Rhinolophus ferrumequinum: one gene and its partner. Each later gene encodes a partner of the first gene's protein in a complex. Links are inferred from orthologs where the notes say so. Each region holds a gene or a part of one and is shown on either strand. Other genes may lie near its edges.

Evidence for each region. The genes of interacting proteins can lie anywhere in the genome.
Region 2: KAT6A (region 1) and BRD1 share a complex: the UniProt entries of both Homo sapiens proteins name them as parts of the MOZ/MORF complex. The link is inferred for Rhinolophus ferrumequinum from reciprocal best matches to the Homo sapiens genes KAT6A and BRD1.

The regions. Positions count from the first base shown.
Region 1 is NC_046287.1:58,402,958-58,413,280, reverse strand, and holds the start of KAT6A (histone acetyltransferase KAT6A), read right to left. Parts: upstream 4,207-10,323; 5' UTR 4,085-4,206; intron 1,912-4,084; exon of another isoform or gene 1,824-1,911; intron 1,515-1,823; 5' UTR 1,201-1,514; coding exon 601-1,200; intron 1-600. UniProt on the Homo sapiens protein: Histone acetyltransferase that acetylates lysine residues in histone H3 and histone H4 (in vitro). Component of the MOZ/MORF complex which has a histone H3 acetyltransferase activity. May act as a transcriptional coactivator for RUNX1 and RUNX2.
Region 2 is NC_046293.1:784,303-795,342, forward strand, and holds the start of BRD1 (bromodomain-containing protein 1), read left to right. Parts: upstream 1-6,977; 5' UTR 6,978-7,071; intron 7,072-9,839; 5' UTR 9,840-9,853; coding exon 9,854-11,040. UniProt on the Homo sapiens protein: Scaffold subunit of various histone acetyltransferase (HAT) complexes, such as the MOZ/MORF and HBO1 complexes, that acts as a regulator of hematopoiesis.

The DNA of each region.
Region 1 (10,323 bases):
ATAGGGTACAGTATTCCTGACCCATGTAGTTACACCTGTCATAAGCAATAATATTTAGGACTTTGTCATATAGAAAGAATAACACATGACAGAAAGCTAGAATACAAACAGTAGATATAAGAATTGCTAAATTTGCTTAACTACTACTATGGGTCACAAGAATTGGTCTCATTCCTGTGTAATGATAAACTGCAACAAAATGGGAAGAAGAAAGAAGAAAGGTTCTTAGAGTCACTTGTTTGTTTCAAATTCAAGTCTCCAGCATTTGGCTGTTCATCAGCTTCCCGCAGTAAGATACAAGAACTTTTATGCAACAGTTTTAAAGTTGTATGCTACTTTTTAATTCTAATCTAAACATGTTCTTTTTGGTTGATCGATACTCTACACTTTGAATCTCAACTATTTCAAAATATCAGAACAATTAGCATCTACTGAGTTCTCACACCTAGAACTCACCAGTGAAAAACCAGAGGTGATCATCATTCCACAAGTCTCCAAACACAAAACTTGTGTTAACTTCTATATAACTTCCTAGAAACGTGACTTTGTAGCATGCTACATCATCAGCTCTATGAACACTGATGCATATACCATTCTCACCTTATCCTTTTCATGTGGAAGGAGTGACACTGGAGGTAAAGAGGAAAGAGACTCACAACTCTCTTTCCCATCCACATTGGTTGCTTTAGTGTTGAGCCGATAAAGAGGTCCATCTTTAAGGAGTCTGCCATGGCCAATGGCACGTTTAATAGCCAATCGTAACTGCTGGTGAAAGCCAGAGGCAGCACTGCCTCCAAATAATGCAGACACATCCTTCTGACCTTTCAAAAAACGTTCAATGCTTTTCAAAGTTGAGCCACCAGACTCTGCCAAGCCATCAACTGCCCGTTTGATCAGTTTATTCCAATCTACATTTTGTTTATTATCCAATTTTCCATGGTTTCGAGGTTTAGGAAGTGCTATTCGCCCAGGATTATCAGGATCTTTATAGGAATTGAGACCCTTATTTGAAACTTTTAAAATTGTTCCATCTTTAACACTCAACTCCAATTGTTCTAAAACAGTTTTACGATCCAAGCCATGGGATGAAGACACTGCATTGCATATCCTTTCTTCTGAAGGACGCTGTTTCTGCTTCTTCACTTTTTTTATGGCCTCCAAAATCCATTCCGTATACAGCGGATTAGCGAGTTTTACCATGGTGAAGGATTCGTATATCCATAGAGTCGTTATCCCTTATCCTGATGCTGAGTAAGTTTTACACCATGGAAAACAACATTCTCGGAGGCTGAGAACCAGTTAACCATAGCATACAAGTTTTCTGGCCTAAGTCCTTCCTCCTTTCATAAAATAGATGCCTCCCCACTTTACTTTAGAAACCGCAACTACCAGTTATTTGAAATGTCTTCAAACTTCCCAATAAATTTCTCAATAGCACCACATGTGGGTCTCTTCATAAAGTTGTAAAAACTCAGGAACATGTCACTCCCAGCAGAAGAATGTTTATCTTATGCCTGAAAAACAATGAAAACAAAGTCAGTTTTCTATCAAGTCCCACTTGTAAATAAGCTATAACTGAAACATCCTAGTCTTTAAAAGCAATCAAATAGCAAGTGTTTATTGAGCACCTGTAGGAATTTTAACATGTTTCTATCAACATTCCAAAACAATCATGTATGTAAACCACTGGGATAAATAAGAAAAGAAATGAAATGAGTAATTAGAATACAATGAGGAAACAAAATGAGATGCACTGTGAATAACCTTAGACTACAATTAACCAGAGGGTGCTGGCTATTCTGTGTGCCATAATCTCTGCTCACCAGTCTATGAACTGAAACTCTTCCTTGACATCTTTCCCCAAGAAACTATTCAGCACTTCAACAAGTATCTGGATTAGTAGAAAGAATCCTGTAATGAAAGTAAAAGTGAATCTTTCATCTTTAAAATTCCAGACATTCAGACTGGATAAAACAGTCAGTAGAATAGGCAGAAAACAATTAAGAAAATTTTAACTATTTCATACATTAGAAAAACAACAAATACAATTTACACACACAGATCAAGTTCATACTTTAAGTGCAATATATACTTTAAACATTCCAAATGGAAACAAAAATAATATGAAAAGTAGTCAAGTGGGAAAAGTGCTTAAGGAATTTTTAAATAATCCAATTTCATTCAAATTTCAAGAATTACATGCTGATAGCATCTCCTAAGCCAAACTAAAGTACTTGGAGGGAGTAACAACTGTCAAAATGTTCATAACCAATCTACAGAGAGAGAAACTAGAAATGAGAAAGGCCCAGAATCATTATGTTCAAATGCACAGACTACATATCAAACGTATGGTACAGAAAAAAATTTATTCCCTGTTTGCCAGTCTACAAAGATCTCATAAAGATTCAAGACTGCTGTCCTGAAATGAACATTAACGAATGAAACACAAACATAAATATACTGCCTCTCCAGGATCAAAGTCAATATTCTTCTTTCAGACAAAAGAACCTGGCATATACAAATCTTTTTAAAAATCACCAAAATAATGAATTTTCACAATCTAAACAACTCCTCTGCTTTCAAAACTAAATTTAATTTTACTTTTGTGTTTTTTAGAACCTCTGTTCTTAATCTGAGGAACATTTACATTACAACATAAACAAAAGAAAAAAAAAAAAAAATGGCTCCCACAGCAATTATTCTTACAAGTATCATTAAAATCCAAAGGAAAACTAACAGGTATTAGGAAAGGGATAGTACTATTAACTCGGATAGGAAAAAAAAGGCTGAAGTAAACACTCAAATCTGAGCCAAGATTTATTTTTAATCTGACTAAAAAGAAGCCCCCTGAGAGCTATGCTTCATTTTGGTGAGAGTCTCGAGAGAATAGAAATCATACTATTATTACTCCACGAAAGTTCATTATGTAGATATTAACGCTAAACTAAATAAGAAGCTACAACCTGAGTTTAAGAAGTTGGAAACGTAATTGATTAAGCTCGCAGGTAAAAGAATGAATGACAGTTATTCATTGTCTCTCCGGCCGGGATTTTCACTAGTGTCCAGGTCTTACCAAAGTAAAGGGCCTGCAGACTTGAACTTTACACCAGCGTCTAAAGAGAAAGCACAACTTGCTTCCGACAGTTCTTCCCCGGCCTCCATTCCCCACCCACAAACACATCTTCGCGCTCTCTTTTTAAAGAGCGAGAAACTTTAAAAACTTGGAACAGCACAACCCTGAAGCTTGCCAACGGGTGGCTTCGCCATTCCCATTAGATGGAAACAGAACCCGAGGACTAAGTTAACAATGAAATCACGTGAAAGAGTTAAGAGCAATGTATCACCCGTTCCCAGCTCCTCCAAATCCTCAGCTCCACAGAGGCGGGTTCCAAGGAGGGTTTAGGGCATGCAGGCTACCCGAAGAGCCTGACAGGTCCGGCAGCTCCTGTCCAAACCGGCCGACGATTGACAAGCAGCCCGCCGCCTCCCCTCCCAGCGTCCGGGCTGACAGCCCGACAGACACAACACCACACGTGCTGCCTCCTCCGCACCACAACACCCGCCAGCCTGTCACCCCCATTTGCCGCCTCAGCCCCTCTCGGATCTCCGCACACCCGGCCGCAACCGAAGAGGGAGCGCCCCGGAGCGCGGGCAGGAGGGGCCGGGCGGGCCTGGGCGGCGAGCGCCGGGCGCAGGTGGGGCCGGGGAGGTGGGCGCGCCCCCGAGGGAGAGCGGGCTTGCCGGCACGGCACAGCCCAGCCCGAGGCTCTGCGGCCTGGGCCGCTCGCCGCTTGCCCACCCGCCGACTTCCCCGGCTGGGCCCGGCCCGCCGGCGGGCGGCGGGGACCTTGGGCCGGAGGCGCGCGGACCACGGGGCGGGGAAAGCCGGGCGCCGGCCGGGCGCGAGGGGGCGGCCGTGGCGCCCCAGCCCGAGGCCTGGCGCAGAGCAGCGGGAGGCGGCGCAGGCCGCGACGGGGCCTGCAGCCTCCTGCCGACCCCGCGAGGCGGCGGAGCGGGCCCCAGAGCGACTCAGCCTCGGGTTCGACGGCTGGGGGCGGCCGAGGGTGGCCTCTCGGCTACTTACCGGGGAGGAAGAGAGCCGGGATACCAGGACCCCGGGCCGGACCGCGGAGATGCCCCAAACTGACACGGCCGCCATCTTGGAGACAGTGAGCTCCGGCCGGGGGGAGGGGAGGCGAGGCGGCGGAACAGCCGCGGGGGGAGGGGAAGCGTCGCGAAGGAACGGCTGCCTGGAGGAGGGAGCGGCAACAGCCCGGGAGGGAGGCGAGGGGGGAGGAGGGAGAGAGAGTGCGGGAGGGGGGCGGCAGAGGAGCGGGAAGAGCTGGGCCGAGAGCCGGGAAAGGCCGGAGGGCGGGGCGGGTAAGGAGGGAAGAGCGGGCCGGGCGGGTCACGTGGGGCCGGTACAAAAGGCCAAAGCCAAAGCGGGAGGAGGACCTGATGGGGCTGGAGGCCAAAAACTGGGGGCTCTTTCTAGCCTTTCACACACGGTCAGGTCGGGCAGATACCAGTGAGAGGAGGAGATGATGTATCCCCATTACACAGCTGGGGAAACTGAGAGCAGACGCATGGGTGGGGTGGCTTCAGTGTGGCACGGAAATCCGGTGGCCAGACGGGCTCTGAACTCTTGATGGCGTTTGTGTTTACAGTTAGCAGATCCTCCCTCCCCACTTATGTGCCCTCAGCCCACTTCCACGGTGACTCTCCCGGAACCTGAGGTCGGGAGCTTGTGTGGTGGGGAGGGGGCGAAGGGCAGAGAGGAAGTTGCCTCCCTTCATCGTTCCCCTTCTGCTCACTTTACTCACCCCACACATCTCACTCCTACTGTAGGAAAAAGAGGAGGTGTGTTGAGAAGGGAGAAAGGGTAGAAACTTAGACACTCGTGTCAAGCTCTTTGTCAAGTCACCACAATGATTTCACCCTCCCCACAAATGAGACTTGTTGGACCTTACTAGAGACGTTTTCATAGAAAACAGCATAGACGAGGGTCGTAAGATTTACACAAGGTCACGGAGCTATTTTGTGGCACGCATCTGAGTTTGGAGCCTAGATCTGCCTTACTCCAACGCCTGTCTTCTCGTGCCCTATGCAGAATTGCTCTTGTCCGAATTTATGGCTGAACCACGAACTGGCACTTTTTTCATAGCATGTCTGTCCTCTACTGGTTTCTTTGTCTTGTCTCTCGAGATTGAATCATACCCTTTTTAAATTTTATTTACTACATTCATTGGAAAGGCAGTAAATGACAAATGAAAAGACATACTAAATCGTTAATAATTTTGTGTGGAAGTATTTTCCTGCTACTAGACCTTTATCTGCTTTGTGCATCCTGCGTAGACTACCCTGTTTCCCGGAAAATAAGACCTAGCGGGACCATCAGCTCTAATGCCTCTTTTGGAGCAAAAATTAATACCAGACCCGGTCTTATATTATGTTGTATTATATAAGAGCCGGTCTTATAGTAAAATAAGACTGGGATATTATATTATATTACATTATATTATATTGACCAGGTCTTATAGTAAAATAAGACCGAGTCTTACATTGATTTTTACTCCAAAAGACACATTAGAGCTGATTGTCCCGCTAGGTCTTATTTTCCAGGAAACACGATATTTTCTCTAACATCTCATTTTACCCCAGCTTTACCTTTTAAAGACCACCCTCCCACTCACTCCCTTAACTTCCATGCTTACTTCCTTTTCTGAACTTTTGTAGTACTGACCATTTGCCCTATTCGTTTGACAGGATGTGTGGCCTTTGTAACATTGTATGTTCTTCTAGAATGCCTCTTTGCATCTCCATTACTGTGTTACAAGTAGTACAGACTCAAAACGTTGCTAGTGAATGAAAATTTTTAAGCCACTGAGAAAAAGACGGAATTTCCACCTCCAGCTCAAACCTGGTGTATTCCTCAACCTATACTTTCTTATCTCTTAGCTTTTCTCTGCTCTAATCCTTAGACTGTCTAGACCACTCAATAACAACATAAAAACATATTTTCAGATGATGGTCCAGCCAACTCAATATCCTAGTACTGACACTGAGAACATAAATGTGGTGTGGTGTGATGAGATTTACTTCATCACCCTCCGTCACCTACTTCCAAGCCCCATTGCCAAATTAGGAGAGAAATTTGGAGGTACAAGTTAATCTATTAGAAAGGATATTTTTCATCCTAGATGAATCAGACAGATGCGTTCTCAGGTAAAATGAGAGCTCTTTGTGAAATGGAAATACATACAGGAAAGAAAAGGTGGAGGGAGATTCTCTTTTAAAAGAATAAAGAAAGGTTTTTATTTCCCAAAGAGAACAGATAAAGTCATGTTAATAGAAAGAAAATGAGTTCTTCGCGTGAGACTAGTGTGTGGTCTTCAGAAGAAAAATAACATTTACAGAGATGAACTGTGTTTGCCTTTGGATAATTTGGAAGAAAACTAGCTACAGCCATTCCTGTGAGAAGACCAAACTAGAGTACAGTAGCAAGAATTTAAAACAATTTGCAACAACAAAGAACAGTTTAGCTTTTCAAACAGCTTCCATAGAGAGTCTTTGCTTTACATTTGCATAACTTGAGGGCACATTCAGGAGGTCTTCTCAAAAGATCTGCAACAAAGACAGATTAAAGTCCTCGTCTTTCAAATGTTAAAAAAAATCCACAGCACTGAACAGACAGTTTTTCTTGCTTCAAACTTGACTCAGAATTCAGCCCTGCAGGGTTGCCAGCTATGTTATTTCCCTCATCCACATTTTGCACTAGGAATCCCTGCCTTTTCACTTGTAGTAGGTAGTTACATTTTTATGCTGACTCTAGCTAAGCCTAAAATTGGAAGTTTGCTCTATACTTATTTCAACAGGAAACGCTTTTAGTCCATTTACATTTAATATAATTACTGCTGTATTTGGATTTCTACCTGCCATCTTGCTATTTATTTTCTTTTGTTCACTTACTTTACATCCCTTATTCTCTTTTTTGCCTTCTTTTGAATTAATTAAAATATTTTAATTATACCATTAACCTCTATTAGCTTATTAGTTATACATTCTTTTAGAAATCTTAGTAATTACAGCCTGCCTATTTGACTTATTACACTCTAACATAAATAATTACTTATACCACTTTCCCAATAATGCTAAGACCTTAGAATACTATGTCTCCACCACCCTTCCACTTTTGTGGTTTTTATTGTCACAGATTTTAATTGTGCATATACAGAGGGTGCCAAAAAAATGTATACACATTTTAAGAAAGGAAAACTGTATTAAAATTGTAATACTCAATATATACCGATAACAAAAGATGAATACAAGTCACGTTTGTCTTCTGCAATTACAAGAGGTGCTCAAAGTGGTTACCATCAGCATCCAGACACTTCTGATGACGGCGAATTACTACTTGAGCAATGTTGACCAAAGTGTCCACTTGTATACATTTATTTGGCACCCCTGGTATTTTAAGCCATACAACATTTTATAATTATGTGTTTTCTACAGTCAATATTCATTATATTCACCTACATATTTATTTACCCTTTATGTTACTCCTTGTTCCAATATACATTTTGGTGCTTCTGACTGGAATTTTTTCCTTCTTTCTCAATAATTCCTCTGTTCATACTGTAGTAGGTCTGCTGGTGACAAGTTCTCTCCATTTTTGTTTGCCTAAAAACTTCATTTTATCTTTCATATTTTTGCTGAGTATAGATAGCATTCTAGTTTGGCAAATTTTCTTTTCAGCACTTTAAAGATGTCCTTTTATTGTCTTCTGGTTTCCATCATTCCATTGTTATTCCTTTGGAAACTAATATCTTTTTTCCTCTGGCTCCTTTTAACATTTTTTTTCTTTAGTTTTCCACAAATAATCTGTGATATGTCTAGATGTGATTTTCTTTGTATTCATCCCACTTGGGTTCATGAGTGGCATGTGCCACTCGTGAAGTCCTTTGAATTTGTAGCTTGGTATCTTTTATCTGTTTTCGAAAATTCTTGGTCTTATCTCTTTTTTCCTTTTAAGACTTCGGTGACACATATGTCAGAATTTTTCATTGTTTACCATCTGTATTTACTACCATTTTTTTGACATCTTTCTTTATGCATGAGTCTGTGAATTTTCTATCCATCTACCTAAATCTTCTCTTAAATCTATTTATTGAATTCTTAATATTGGTCATTGTATTTTTAAGTTCTAGAAATTTCATATGATTTTTTAAAAATAAAATCCAATTCATTTGGAGCAATTCTCCATCTTTTTATTTTCTCCACCTTTGCCTATACTTTCTTGAACGTATAAGTCTAGCTATTTTAAATCTCTTCCTGATCATTACAATAGCTAGATCTTCTGTGGATTTTTTTCTATGTATATTCTTTCCACTGACTTTTGGTCAATTTAGCAAATTGAGTCTGACATTATATATAGTGGATAATATATTATGGCCAGCTGGGTTTAATCCCCGGGATGCAAGGCTGATTTACCATTTGAAAAACCAGTCGATATAATTCACATTAGCAAACTAAAACAGAAAAAATTCATATGATCAATTCAGCAGATACAGAAAAAGTATTTGACAAAATCCAACAAATATTCCTGATAAAAATCTCTCAGCAAACTATGAACCTTCTCATAGTGATAAAAGGGCATTTGTGAAAAATCTACAATTACCATGATACTTAATTAAAGACCAATTAAACCATTAAAGACCAATTAAAGACCAATACTTTCCCTTTAAGACATGATCGAGACAAAGGTGTTGGCTGTCACCACTTCTATTCAACACTGCTCTAGATTCGAGACAGATCAATAAGTCAGGAAAATAAAAAGGCATTCCAAATTGGAAATAAATAAATAAAGATCTTTTCTCATAGATGACATGATTTTCTAGCTAGGAAATCCTACAGAGTCTACAAACAGCTACTAGAATTAATGTTTATCATTGTTGCAGCATATAAGATCAATATACAAAAATCAAGTGTAAAACAATCTGACTTTAAAAATGGGCAAAGGACTTGAATTGACATTTTGCCAAAAAAGATGTATGAATTGCCAATAAACCCATGAAAGATGCTCAACATCACTAATCGTTAGGGAAATGCAAAATCAAAATCGCAGGTACCACCTCACACGCATTAGGATGTCTACTATAAATTAAAAAAACAAAAAAGCAGAAGATAACAAGTGTAGATGAGGATGTGAAGAAATTGGAACCCTTGTGCATTGTCGGTGGGAATGTAAATTGGTGCAACCACTGTGGAAAACAATATGGTGGTGCCTCAAAAAATTAGAAATAAAACTATATGATTCCGCAATCCTACTTCTGAGCATGTATCCTAAAGAATTAAAAGCAGGTTCTTAAAGATAGTTGGCACGTCCTTATTCATAGCAACAATATTCACAAGAGGCAATATTCACAAGAGCCATTAATGGATGAACGGATAAATAAAATGTGATATATATATATATATATATGTATATATGTATACATATATATATATATATATATAATGTTAATGGAATATGACTCACTCTTAAAAAGGAAGGAAATTCTGACATGTGCTACAACATGGATGAACCCTGAGAACATATGAACTAAGTAAAATAAGCCAGTCACAAAAAGATTTTAAAAAATGTATGATACCACTTATATGAGGTAACTAAAGTAGTGAATTCATAGAGATAGAAAGTAGAATGGTGGTTGCCAAGGGCTGGGGGGGAAAGTAACTGGGGAGTTATTGTTTAATGATTTCAGAGTTTCAGTCTTGCAGGATCAAAAGAGTCTGGAGGTGGATGGTGATGGTTGCACCACAGTGTGAATGTACTTAACACCACTAAACTACACATTTACAAATGGCCAAGACAGTAAATTTTATATTATGTGTATTTTACCACAATTTTTTAAAAGCGTATTTCAATATACCAGCAACAACTGAGATGAAAATGGAAAAAGCAATATATTTTACAATAGCATCAAAAACATAAAATACTTAGGGGTAAATCTGACAAAGATGTACAAGATATGTTCATTGAATGCTGCAAAATGTTGCTGAGAGAAATTAAAGAAGACCTAAGAAAATGGGAAGATATACCTTGTTTTGGGATTGAAAAATGCAATATTGTTAAGATGTCAATTATTCCCAAATTGAGTTATAAATTCAATGCAATAGCAATCATAATCCCAGCAAGATTCATTTGTAGAAACTTGAGAAGCAGATTCTAAAATTCTTATGAGAATACAAAAGATGTAGAACTGTCGTAAAAGTTTGAAAAAGAACAAAATTGAAGGAGTTATACTGCCTGACTTTCAGACTTTC
Region 2 (11,040 bases), on another chromosome or scaffold:
ATTATTCGATGTATTTTAAAAACAACTTTATTGAGCTGTAACTCACATACCACACCATTCACCCATTTAAAATGCACAAGTGAGTAGTTTCTAGTATATGCACAGGGTTGTGCACCCTTACCAGTCAATTCCAGAGCATTTTCATCACGCCCAAAGAAAGCCTGCACCCGTTGGCAGTCACTCCCCATCCCCACCACCGCCCCGGCAACAACTAACCTGTCCTCTTTCTCTATAGATTTGCCGATTATGGACATTTCATATCAGTGAAATCATACAAGCCTCTGGCTTCTTTCACTGAGCATAATGTTTTCACAGTTCATCCATGGTGTAGTGTATGTCAGTGCTTCATTTCTTTTTATTGCCAGATAATATTCCATTTATGAACAGACCACATCTCGTTTGTCCATTCATCAGTTGGTGGACATCTGGGTTGTTTTCAATTTTTGGCTTTGATGAATAACACTGCTATGAATCTTCATGTACAAGTTTCTGTGTGGGCAGGTGTTTTCATGTGTCTGGGGTCTGTGCCTAGGATTGGAATTGCTGGGTCACATGGTAACTGTTTTTAATCATTTGAAGAATCGTCAGACTATTTTTCAAAGCAGCTGCACCATTTTGCATTCTCACCAGCCATGCGAGAGAGTTCCAACGGCCCTATGTCCTCGCCGACACTTGTTATCATCCGTTAGGTTCTAGCCGTCCTAGTGGGTGGGCGCCGGGGTCCGACCGTGGTTCCGACTCACATCTCCCTGGTAAGTAATGACGCTGAGCATCTAGTCATGTGCTTATTGGCCACTCGGCTAACTTCTTTGGAGAAACATCTTTCGCATCCTGTACCTATTTTCTAATCTGGTTGTCTGTTTTGGTTGTTGAGTTGAGGACTGGGAGAGGTAGGAGGAACTGGAAGGCTCTAAGCACGAGAGTAGCAGGATCACTTGAGCTGCTGTGTAGAGAAAACGTATAGAGGAGTAAAGGTGAAGCAGCAATACCAGTCAGGATACTGAGATGATACAGGTGAGAGGGTGCTGATTGGCCTTCGGGAGGTAACAGAGGAGGTGGGAACACAGGGCTGGTTCTGCGCACATTGTGAAGGGGGAACCAACAGGATTTGCTGATGGATCAGGTGTGAGCAGCAAGGCACTGCCTCTCACTCAGGAAGCATGGAGTTACCATTTACTGAGAAGGTGTAGCTGCCACAACAAAGTACCACAAACTGGGTGTTTAAAACAACAGAATTTTTTTGTCACACCGTCCTGGGGGTTGCGCGTCTGGGCCCTGGAGTCCTGGAGGGCAGTGTCCTTCCTGGGGGCTGCCGCCCTTGGCCATCCTGCGCTTGCGGCGGCATCACTCCAGTCTCTGTTGTCATCTGTCCTGCTCCCTGTGTCTGCCCAAATTCCCCTCTTCTTACAAGGACACAACCGTGGGCTTAGGGCCACTCCAACGACTTCATCTCAGCTTGACCATCTATAGAGACTGTATTTGGAAAGTGACGTCACGTGCACAGGCTCCGGCAGTGAGGACATCCACATATATTTTGGGGGACACAATTCAATCCATAACAAATGGAGAAGTTGAGAGAGAAGTTTGGGGCCGAGGGCTCTCAGTGTCCACACGCTGAGTGTGACGTGCCTGTTAGATGTCCCAGAGGGGATGCCGGGGAGGCAGCGAAGTCGAGGAGCTATCGGAGCATAATTTTCAAAAAGTTAAAAATATGACTCTACAGCTCTCAAGTAAGAACGTGTCAAAGATTTCTTTAAATCATTCATGAGGAAACCAGCATGATGGTGAGGCTGGTTCAAAAGCTTGGGCAGAGAAGGAAGTATGTGTAGTGGCTAAAGAAAAGCTTGCTTGGGTAAGCTTGTAAATTAGATGAAAAACAGGCTAACATTCTACAGGGGCTGTAAAACTGGCATCTTCTCCATTGGACAGAAATAACTTCTATCATTTACTAACTGAGCAAAATTCATTTGCACTGCTGTCAGACAAGAATCATTTTACTCAGCCATCGTTTTCTACAAGTCTGTCCTCCCGAGATAAAAAATCATAATCAATAGTAAATACCGAGTTAAACACCTCACCCACAAGAATCAGGTAACACTCTTGGCAGGCCTGCTAGACAACACTCAGCCTCCCACCCAAAGGACCCACCACCATCCTACTTTTTCATAAGTTTTGGAAAATTTTTATTAGGCCCTTTCCCATGGTGATAATCTCCAGAGGTTATTGTTGACCACAGAATGCTAGTCTTGCTGCATCTGGACCTGATTCACCCACACAGGCGCTGTAAAAAATGCTTAATTGACATGTATGAGCCTCCGGGCTGGGCCAGTACATCTACACTACGTGGCGTTACCCAACGACCAAGACCGGAAATTCAACCTCTGTCTGGTGATGACATCGTAAGAATATAGGACCCGGCCTCTTCTATGCCTAAGATTTTAATTTCTCGTCTTCTCTGCTCTTCCCAGGTTACGAAACCAAGCCAGTCGCCTGCAGCTTGGCCTGCCGTACCTGTGCATGCAGGTACATCCCTGTCTTTTTGAGGACTTTGGTGTCTGCCACAGAGCCCGTGTTCCTACCACTCGTAAGCCGCAGACCTGGCGCCCCACAGTACAGGGACTGACTAGTGTGGGTCTGAGGGCTGCATGGGCATTGGCTCACCACATACAACCCTTCCTCCTAAGCTGGGTGGGTCCTACGGAACCACGACACATATTCTCAAATGTGACACCAAGGTAAGGCCTTGGTTGCACAATTAACTTGTCTAATGATATCCTGGTAAAAAGGAGGATTGATTTCTACTGAAACTATGCAAACTAGATTCCTACTAAAACTGAAGAGTCAGTAAAAACTACTTTTCCTGAGTTCTGAAGTGAGAAAACACCATCTAAAGAATGTGTCACTGGTTGGTGAAAACAGCCCACCAAATGCAAGGTTAGAAGTGGGTTAAGAATAAAGGATTTGATCTTACTTCTGCCAGAAAATAACACATTATACAATCACACCCGTGCCCTTAACCCGCCTTTTCTGGGCCCAAGCTTTCAGCGGCAGGTCCAGTGGTGTGGGGCTGGGTTGGGAGTGTGGAGTCCCCAAAACTGAGCTTTTGGTTGGTGCCTGTAAGTGGGGGCAGCGGTCGATGTGTCTGGGGCCAAATCTCTCCACACACAGCGGACTGAGCCACTGGGTGACTGTTGACAGTCATCTAGAAGGGGGAGCGTAGGATGAACCCTGCTGGATTGCAACGAGCCCCCAGCATGAACTCAAGTTTTGTTAATAGATATCGAAGAAGATAGAGGTGTGTGTGCAAGCTGACACACCTTTCTTATCGCTCTCTGCAAGTGTAAATGGAATCACACTTTGCAGTCTCCTGTCAACTGTCTCTCCCATTCAGCATTATTGTCTGAGATTCTGCACGTAGCTCCAAGTGCTGCAGTTCATTCATTGTAGCCACGTGCACTATTCCAGCATACAGACACACCCACTTTATTTATGGTCTCGTCCACGGACATGGACGGTTTTTGCCAGCATTTTTGGTGTTCAAAACAGTGCTGCTTTGAACATGGACGCACGTCTTCTGATGAGCAAGTCCAGACCTCTCAGGCCCAATCTAGGTGTGTAATGTACCCAGGAGCCCATACCTGCTTAGCCCTGCAGCTGGGAATGGGTGTGCATATTATGGCAGCTGGCACATTCCCAAACTGGCCATAGAAACTTCTCCCACACTTGTGCGCCTCTTAAAATGAGACTCTGACACTTTTCTCCACAGGAAGTACGGCTCAGCATCCCCCCATGTCTTGAATCAGGACAGGCTTGTGCAGAAATGGTGCTCTGTGATTTCTGAGGTGACAATATAAAAAGTGACACAGGCCCCTCCATTTCTCTTGGACTCTTGTTCTTAGAACCTTGCCACAGTCCCTCGGCCCTCAGCCTATAGCTGGAACCAGCCTACCAGCCATATGTGTGCACCATCTTGGACATTGCCCCTCCAGCGCCTAGTGGAGATGCCCCAGCTGGTGAGCACGGAGTGGACCAGCGGTGAATCCTGCCCACAAAGCAGATCCATGAGCAAAGGGCATGAGTGTTGTTTTGAGCTACAAAGTTTTCAGGCTGGTTTGCTATGCAGTGATAACTGACACATATGTCTAGCTTCATTGGGTAATGCCGTATTATTCACCAAGATAATTGCACCACCTGATATTGCGACCATGTTTCCGTCAATCCACCTTCTTACCATCACAGGGTACTGTCATGTTTGAACACCTGTGCTCACTTGGTGTGGATTCAGTTTGCATTTCCAGAATTACTACTGAGGTCATTGGCCCTTTCCACATTCTTCTCTGTAAGGAGCCTGATTATGGGTTTTGCCCATCATTCTATTCGCTCGTCTTTTTCTAATGGATTGGAAAGCATTCTTTATATATTCTGGATATGAATCATTTGCAAGGAACACCTGTTGCAAATACCTTCTTTTAGTTTTTTGTTCTTCCTTCTCTTTTGCTACTTTGAGTAGCAAGAGTTGGATGATACATACTTTCCATTTATTTTCAATCCTCTGTGACATTTTTAGGTGTATTTCTTGTAAACACTATTTAATGGCATTTGTATTCCAGTTGAGAGTCTCAGTCTTTTGATAGATGACTTTAATTCAATCATGTCTCCAGTTACTCAAACATTTGAATTCATTCCCGTCATCTCATATTATGGTCCTTATTTATTGTGTACTCATCTTTTCCTCTTTTCTGCCTTTGGTTGGCACTCTCAATTTTTCTTCATTTCAGTTTTCCCCCATCTGTCTTAGAATCTGTAGATCCTATTTCCATTTTTCTAGTGGAAACTTGGCTATTTTAACATTTTAAACCTTTTTCTATCCATTCTAAACTCCTCTAACAACACAAGAACTTCAGTGAACTTTCACTTCCTGCTCCCCTCTCCTCTTGCTGGATGCTCTATTCAGTTCATCTGGGACTTTCTCCCAAGTTGGTATTTGATTTTCTTTTAACAGTCCAAACTGGTTTCTTTGCTGGCATCCATGTCTTACTCTCAGATTCACTTTTCATTTGCTAGGGTGTATCTTTCAGTAATATTTAAGAGACCATGTGTCGTAAACTTGGATGTTTACAGGCTGTGGACACCTTTATTCTGCTGTTTCATTGAATGCTTGTTTCATCGTGTATGGAATTCCAAGTTCAATTCTCTTAGAATTTAGTCAATTCATTCTTTGCCAAGGAACCATCTCAGCTTCTCCCTCCTTTCAAAACAATGGCCATATCAAGTTCAGTCTGATTGAAGAATATCCTTTCTCTCTGAAGGTTTTTGAGCTAGTCTCTTTATCCTTGTATTCCACATAGTAGGTCTGTGAGCAAAAGGAGTGATTGTTGTTTTGAGCTACTGACACGCTTGTAGGTCTTTTTTAACTTCTCCTGGACATCACTTACTTCCATTGTCTGAGAAGTCCTTCTTTTGTCTGTCTTGTGGAGAAGGGTTTTGTTATCTTTCATCTTCTCTTTCACCAGACTGTTTCTTACTTTTGCTGTGTGTGGTGAGCCCCTCCAGCTTGTTGATTTGCATCTGGCTTGCCCATGGTGGAGGAGAGAAGGGTGCAGGCCCCACTTGCTTGCTCTCAGCTACTAGCTGCCCTGGCATGTTTGGATTCGGACAAGCAGACATCTGAAGAGCGGGGAGACACCTGCAGCTTCTGGGTCTGGTGTGGATGTGGTCAGGGCCCCAGTGCCCAGCCAGCCCCACCTTGGCCCAAGGAAGTGTCTGGAGGGGCCACCAGCTTCAAGGTGGGACTTTGTTCAGGGTTGACCACTGGGTGACCTTGGTTGCAGTCCTACCTCACTCTCGAAGCCGTACATTGGATGCAGTGGGGTACAAGTACTGGTCACCAAAAGGCCCATGGGGCTCCATCTCCCCCAAGGACATTTGGGTGCAGGGGGCAGCCCACTCCCAGTAAGGCGTTCGGTGGGGGATCCTAAGCAGTGGACTGTGCCCTGCCTGTCCATGTAGGGGAAGACCTGACCGGCTCAGAAGGACCCAGCCTCTTGCCTGGGCAGCTGTCCATTCTCTTCCTGACGAGCCTGTCTTGATGCCCCAGGCTGGGGGCCACCTGCCTGCTCCTTTCCCTGGGGCTGGGCTGCCCACCGCCAGGGGCTCCCTCATGGCCACCGCACTAACAAACCCTCCAAGGAAACCAAGGAGACATCTGGGCCTCTCTGTCCCCTCAAGACATTTTGGGATTTAATCTCCGGATGAAAACTGTCACAAAACCCCCGAATTTTAAGTTTCCACAAAGGCCAAAGTGGAAGCAGCCAGTGGGAGAGGAAGCTCAGGTCGCCCTCTGTTTCACCAGGATGCCGGGGAGGGTGTTCAAAATCCTAATTACCCGCCCACTTGGCTTAAAACGCCTAAAGGAGGGCCGAGCTGGGGCGAGCCCCTCAGGCCGGGCTGCCCGTGCCCCGCCTAACCCGCACCCCAGCAGACGCCCCTCCAGTCTCCCCGCTGCTTCTCCGTCCCCTCCCAGCACCCCCTTCCGCCCGCCCCCCCCCCCGTTCTCCTGCACCCCACCGTCGGGGGCTCCCTTTCTCCGCGGGAGCCCGTCCAGCGTCCCTCCACTTCCGGTCTGGCCCCCACGCCCAGCCCCCAGGTCCGCTTCCCGCGCGCGTCCCTCCGCCCAGCTGCGTCCCGGCCCCCGGCCCCGCTCCCGGCCCCGCCCCCGGCCTCGCGTCACGGCGGCGGCGGGCGGGGCGCGTCTCGCACGCAGCGCGCCGGGCGGAGCGCTCGCCGCATTGTTTGCTTCGCTGGGGAGCGAGCGAGCAGCCGGCCCGGGCGTCCGAGCAGCCCCGCGCCCGCGCCCGCGCCCGCGCCCCGCGCCCCGCCGCCGGCCGGGCCCCGCGCCGGCCTCCCGGCCCCGCCCGCCGTCCGCAGGGCCGCCCGCCGACAGGAGCCCGCGCCCCGAGCGGCGGCGGCCGGGCCTGCGCGGCCGTTGGCGGAGGAGCCGCGGGCGCCATTAGCGCCGCCTCGGCCGCGCCGGCCCCAGCGCCCGCCCGCCGGGCTCCCGCGGCCCCGAAGGTGAGTGGGCGGGGGCCGGGCCGGGGACGCCGCCGCCGCCGCGAGGGCCGCCGGCCCCGGTGCTGCGCCGCCGCCATGTTTGAGGCCGCGGCGGCGCATTGTCCGCGGGCGAGCGGGAGGCGGGCGGGCGGGGGCCGGAGGGAGGCCGGGGAGTCGGGGCCGCGGAGTCGGGGCCCGGAGGCCGTGGGGTCGGCGCCCAGGTCGCCCTCGGCCCGCCTGCGGGCCGTCCCGGGCTCGGGCGGCGGAGGGGTGAGCGCCGCGGGCGCGGCGGGGCGGTACCGGCGCGAGAGCCGGGCCGTAACCCGGCCGGCAGGGCGGGCGGCCCCGTCGCCCCGCGGGTCGCATTATGTAACAGATACGCTCGTGGGTTTTGTCGGGACGGGAGGCCTGTCGTAGGGCCGCCTCTAAAGGCTTCCTACGGGACCCGGGAGTCGGGGGGCCCAGGGCGGCGGGCGGCCGGCGGCCGGCAGCGCAGGGAGGCGTCCCTCCCGCTTCCGGGCAGTGTTGGCAGTAAACACGCTGAGATGGACTTGTGCCCCGGCTGTCCTGGGCCTTTTTTTTTGAAGAAGTATCTTTCTCGAGGCACAGTTTACAGAAAGTGCAGCTCCGGTTAGCGCCCAGGGATTCTGGAGAGCGTCTACACGCCCAGGAAGCCACCACCCCGTCGACGACGTCCCGTCACCCCACACACTTCTGCCCCGGTCATCGCGGAAAGCAGCGTTTATAGAGTTAGGGTGTATTTACTTACGTGGCCTGGCACCTGCTCTGCCGGGCACGGCTGTGAGCAGCTTGTGTTCACCCAGGCTGCACGCAGCCGGCGAGGTGTGTTCTGGCTCCGCTCACATTTAGGTAGTGCAGGGGGCGAGGCTCGGAGGATTAAGTGACATGTCCAGACCAGGCAGGAAATGTGCTGCGTGGACAGCGAGAGCTGGTCATTACTGTGGCCGGTCATTACTGTGACGGCTAACCCTCTTCAGTATGTACTTAACAGAATTGTTCCCGGAGATGCTTGCTGATCATCCTTGCCGATTCCCTCCTGTGGAAATGCTTGTCCCTGTACAAAAGTGCCCAGGGTGTCTGGAGCCAGAGAGCCACAGAGAGCGCTCGAGGGTATCGGGGAATGATGAGGCGGTGGGTCACTCTGTGCCTGGCACTGCTGCTAAATGCCCGCTTTCCCTGTCACAAGTACACTTTCAAATTGCAGAGCTGCTGTGACGATTAAGTGTGAGGCTGTTTCTGTGGCAGGTGGTCACTTAGTGCCCATTGAGACAGTGTGGGTCTTGAAGGGCTGGATGTACTTGCAGCTCCTGGGTACGTGGCTGCAGGGCAGAAAATTTCACGTTTGCTGTGAATGTGAATAACCACGTGTGGCTTCTCCCTCCAGTAAGGACACGCGAAGCTGTCCTGAGTGCATTAGGGTCACCTCTGTGCTGACACCTGGGGGACACACCCAGCTCCCCTCAGGAGGGATTGTAGGCTATTGCCAGCTGGCTGGTGGCTTCACTGACTGCTCCCCAGGAACTCTGAACTGGGATTTGGCTGACCCAGGGTTTGCCATGTTCCTCTTGGCAAGGAATTCATCACATTTTAAACCGTTTCCATTTGACCCAAGAAAGCCGCAGTCTGACGAGTCAGTCTTAAACAGTGCATCAGGGTCCGCTGGGATTTCCTTTCGGGGTGTAGAGTGAAGCCTGCTCGCTAAGGCTTTTGCACAGACCAGCCAGGTGGGCAAGGGGCTGTCATTCAGGCTCCTGTGGGCGCCCGAGGCTGGGCTCCCCACCCCGCCTGGTGGGCCACGTGAAGCAGCGGGCCTTGGACTCCAACTCGGCATGTTTGTTTATAAGCCAGTCTCTGAAAAATCCCTTTGCTTCCTGTCAGTAAGATGTTTGGTGGGAGGAGTCTGAGAGGTCTGTGACAGGTCCTTGTCAGTTCCTAAGGTGACACCTGTTTGGTTGGTGGTGGTCCACAGTTGGAGCCTTACTTGAAAATAGTGACAGCCCGACGGCGGAGATCTGAAAAGAGCAAATTGTCAATCTCTGGCCAAGGTTTCAGGCACCTGAGCCTGTGCTGGCAGAACGATGGTGGTGGTTCTGTGGGCAGGGTGGAGCCTCAAGGCGGCTCTGCAGGGGTCCCGGGGTGGTTCTGCAGGCAGTGCGGGGCCTCGGGGTGGCCCTCGCCGTAAAGCGTGGCACGTTGAATGTGTGTGGGTGTGCTTGAGGAGGAGGAGGGCCTGGCCTGGCCCTGCAGTCTAGCCAACAGCTCAGAAGTGCCCAAGGGGAAGGGGCAGGCAGGCTGTGGTCAGGCCACTGAGGCCTCTGGCCCCTCTGCACAGTGCTGCCAGAACCAGTGCCCTGGCTCCAGGGCTGGCAGCACTGTTGGGGAGAGGATGTCCTGGGAACATGGGTTGGGAGCGGAGAGCCTCTGAGCACGCTTGCGTCACTGTCACAACCTCTCTGCCTGCTGGAGTCTAGCCCTGGGTTCAGGCCTGGGACCCTTGGTCCGGAGGGATGTGGCAGTCATCTTGGTGATCTGTTGGCTTGGTCTAGGAAGGTAGCTGGCAAGCAGTGGGAATCGGTGTCGGAGGGACTTGTCACTGCACATGCCTTTCGAGGGCCACTGCTCACGGCCTGTCCTCCCCTCTGGTCCTGGGAGTCCCTGTTGGGGTCGGGATGGATGGTTCCGGAGCCTCCGAGCCAGGTCAGCTGGGGGATTGGACTTCGTGTGTGTGCTTGTCCTGTCCAGTTAACGTGCCTTCTGCCTGTGTCTAGGGAGTCAGTACCAAATGAGGAGGAAAGGACGATGCCATCGAGGCGCTGCAGCAAGGCTCCCGTCCTCCCCGCGCAGCACTAAGCAGTCCCCGGCACGCGAGAGCCTGACGTACGCGCAGGCGCAGAGGATGGTGGAGATCGAGATCGAGGGGCGCCTGCACAGGATCAGCATCTTCGACCCCCTGGAGGTCATCCTGGAGGACGACCTCACTGCCCAGGAGATGAGCGAGTGCAACAGCAACAAGGAGAACAGTGAGCGGCCGCCCGTGTGCCTGAGGGCGAAGCGCCACAAGAACAACCGTGTCAGGAAGAAGAGCGAGGCCGCCCCCAGCGCCCACGGCGCCCCAGCCTCCGCCAGCGTGCTCCCCGAGCCCAGGGTGCGTGTGCTGGAGTACAGCCCCCCGGCCGCCCCCCGCCGGCCGCCCGCCTACTACAAGTTCGTGGAGAAGTCGGCGGAGGAGCTGGACGGCGAGGTGGAGTACGACATGGACGAGGAGGATTACGCGTGGCTGGAGCTGGTCAACGAGAGGCGCCGGGCCGAGTGCGTGCCCGCCGTGTCGCAGGCCGTGTTCGAGCTCCTCATGGACCGCTTTGAGAAGGAGTCGCACTGTGAGACGCAGAAGCAGGGCGAGCAGCAGTCGCTGATCGACGAGGACGCCGTGTGCTGCATCTGCATGGACGGCGAGTGCCAGAACAGCAACGCCATCCTCTTCTGCGACATGTGCAACCTGGCTGTGCACCAGGAGTGCTACGGGGTGCCCTACATCCCCGAGGGCCAGTGGCTGTGCCGCCACTGCCTGCAGTCCCGCGCGCGGCCTGCCGACTGTGTGCTGTGCCCCAACAAGGGCGGTGCCTTCAAAAAGACCGACGACGACCGCTGGGGCCACGTGGTGTGTGCCCTGTGGATCCCAGAGGTGGGCTTCGCCAACACGGTGTTCATTGAGCCCATCGATGGCGTGCGGAACATCCCCCCCGCCCGCTGGAGACTGACGTGCTACCTCTGCAAGCAGAAGGGCGTGGGTGCCTGCATTCAGTGCCACAAGGCGAACTGCTACACGGCCTTCCACGTCACGTGCGCCCAGAAGGCCGGCCTCTACATGAAGATGGAGCCCGTGAAGGAACTGGCTGGCGGTGCCACCACTTTCTCCGTCAGAAAGACCGCTTACTGTGATGTGCACACGCCCCCGGGCTGTACCCGGCG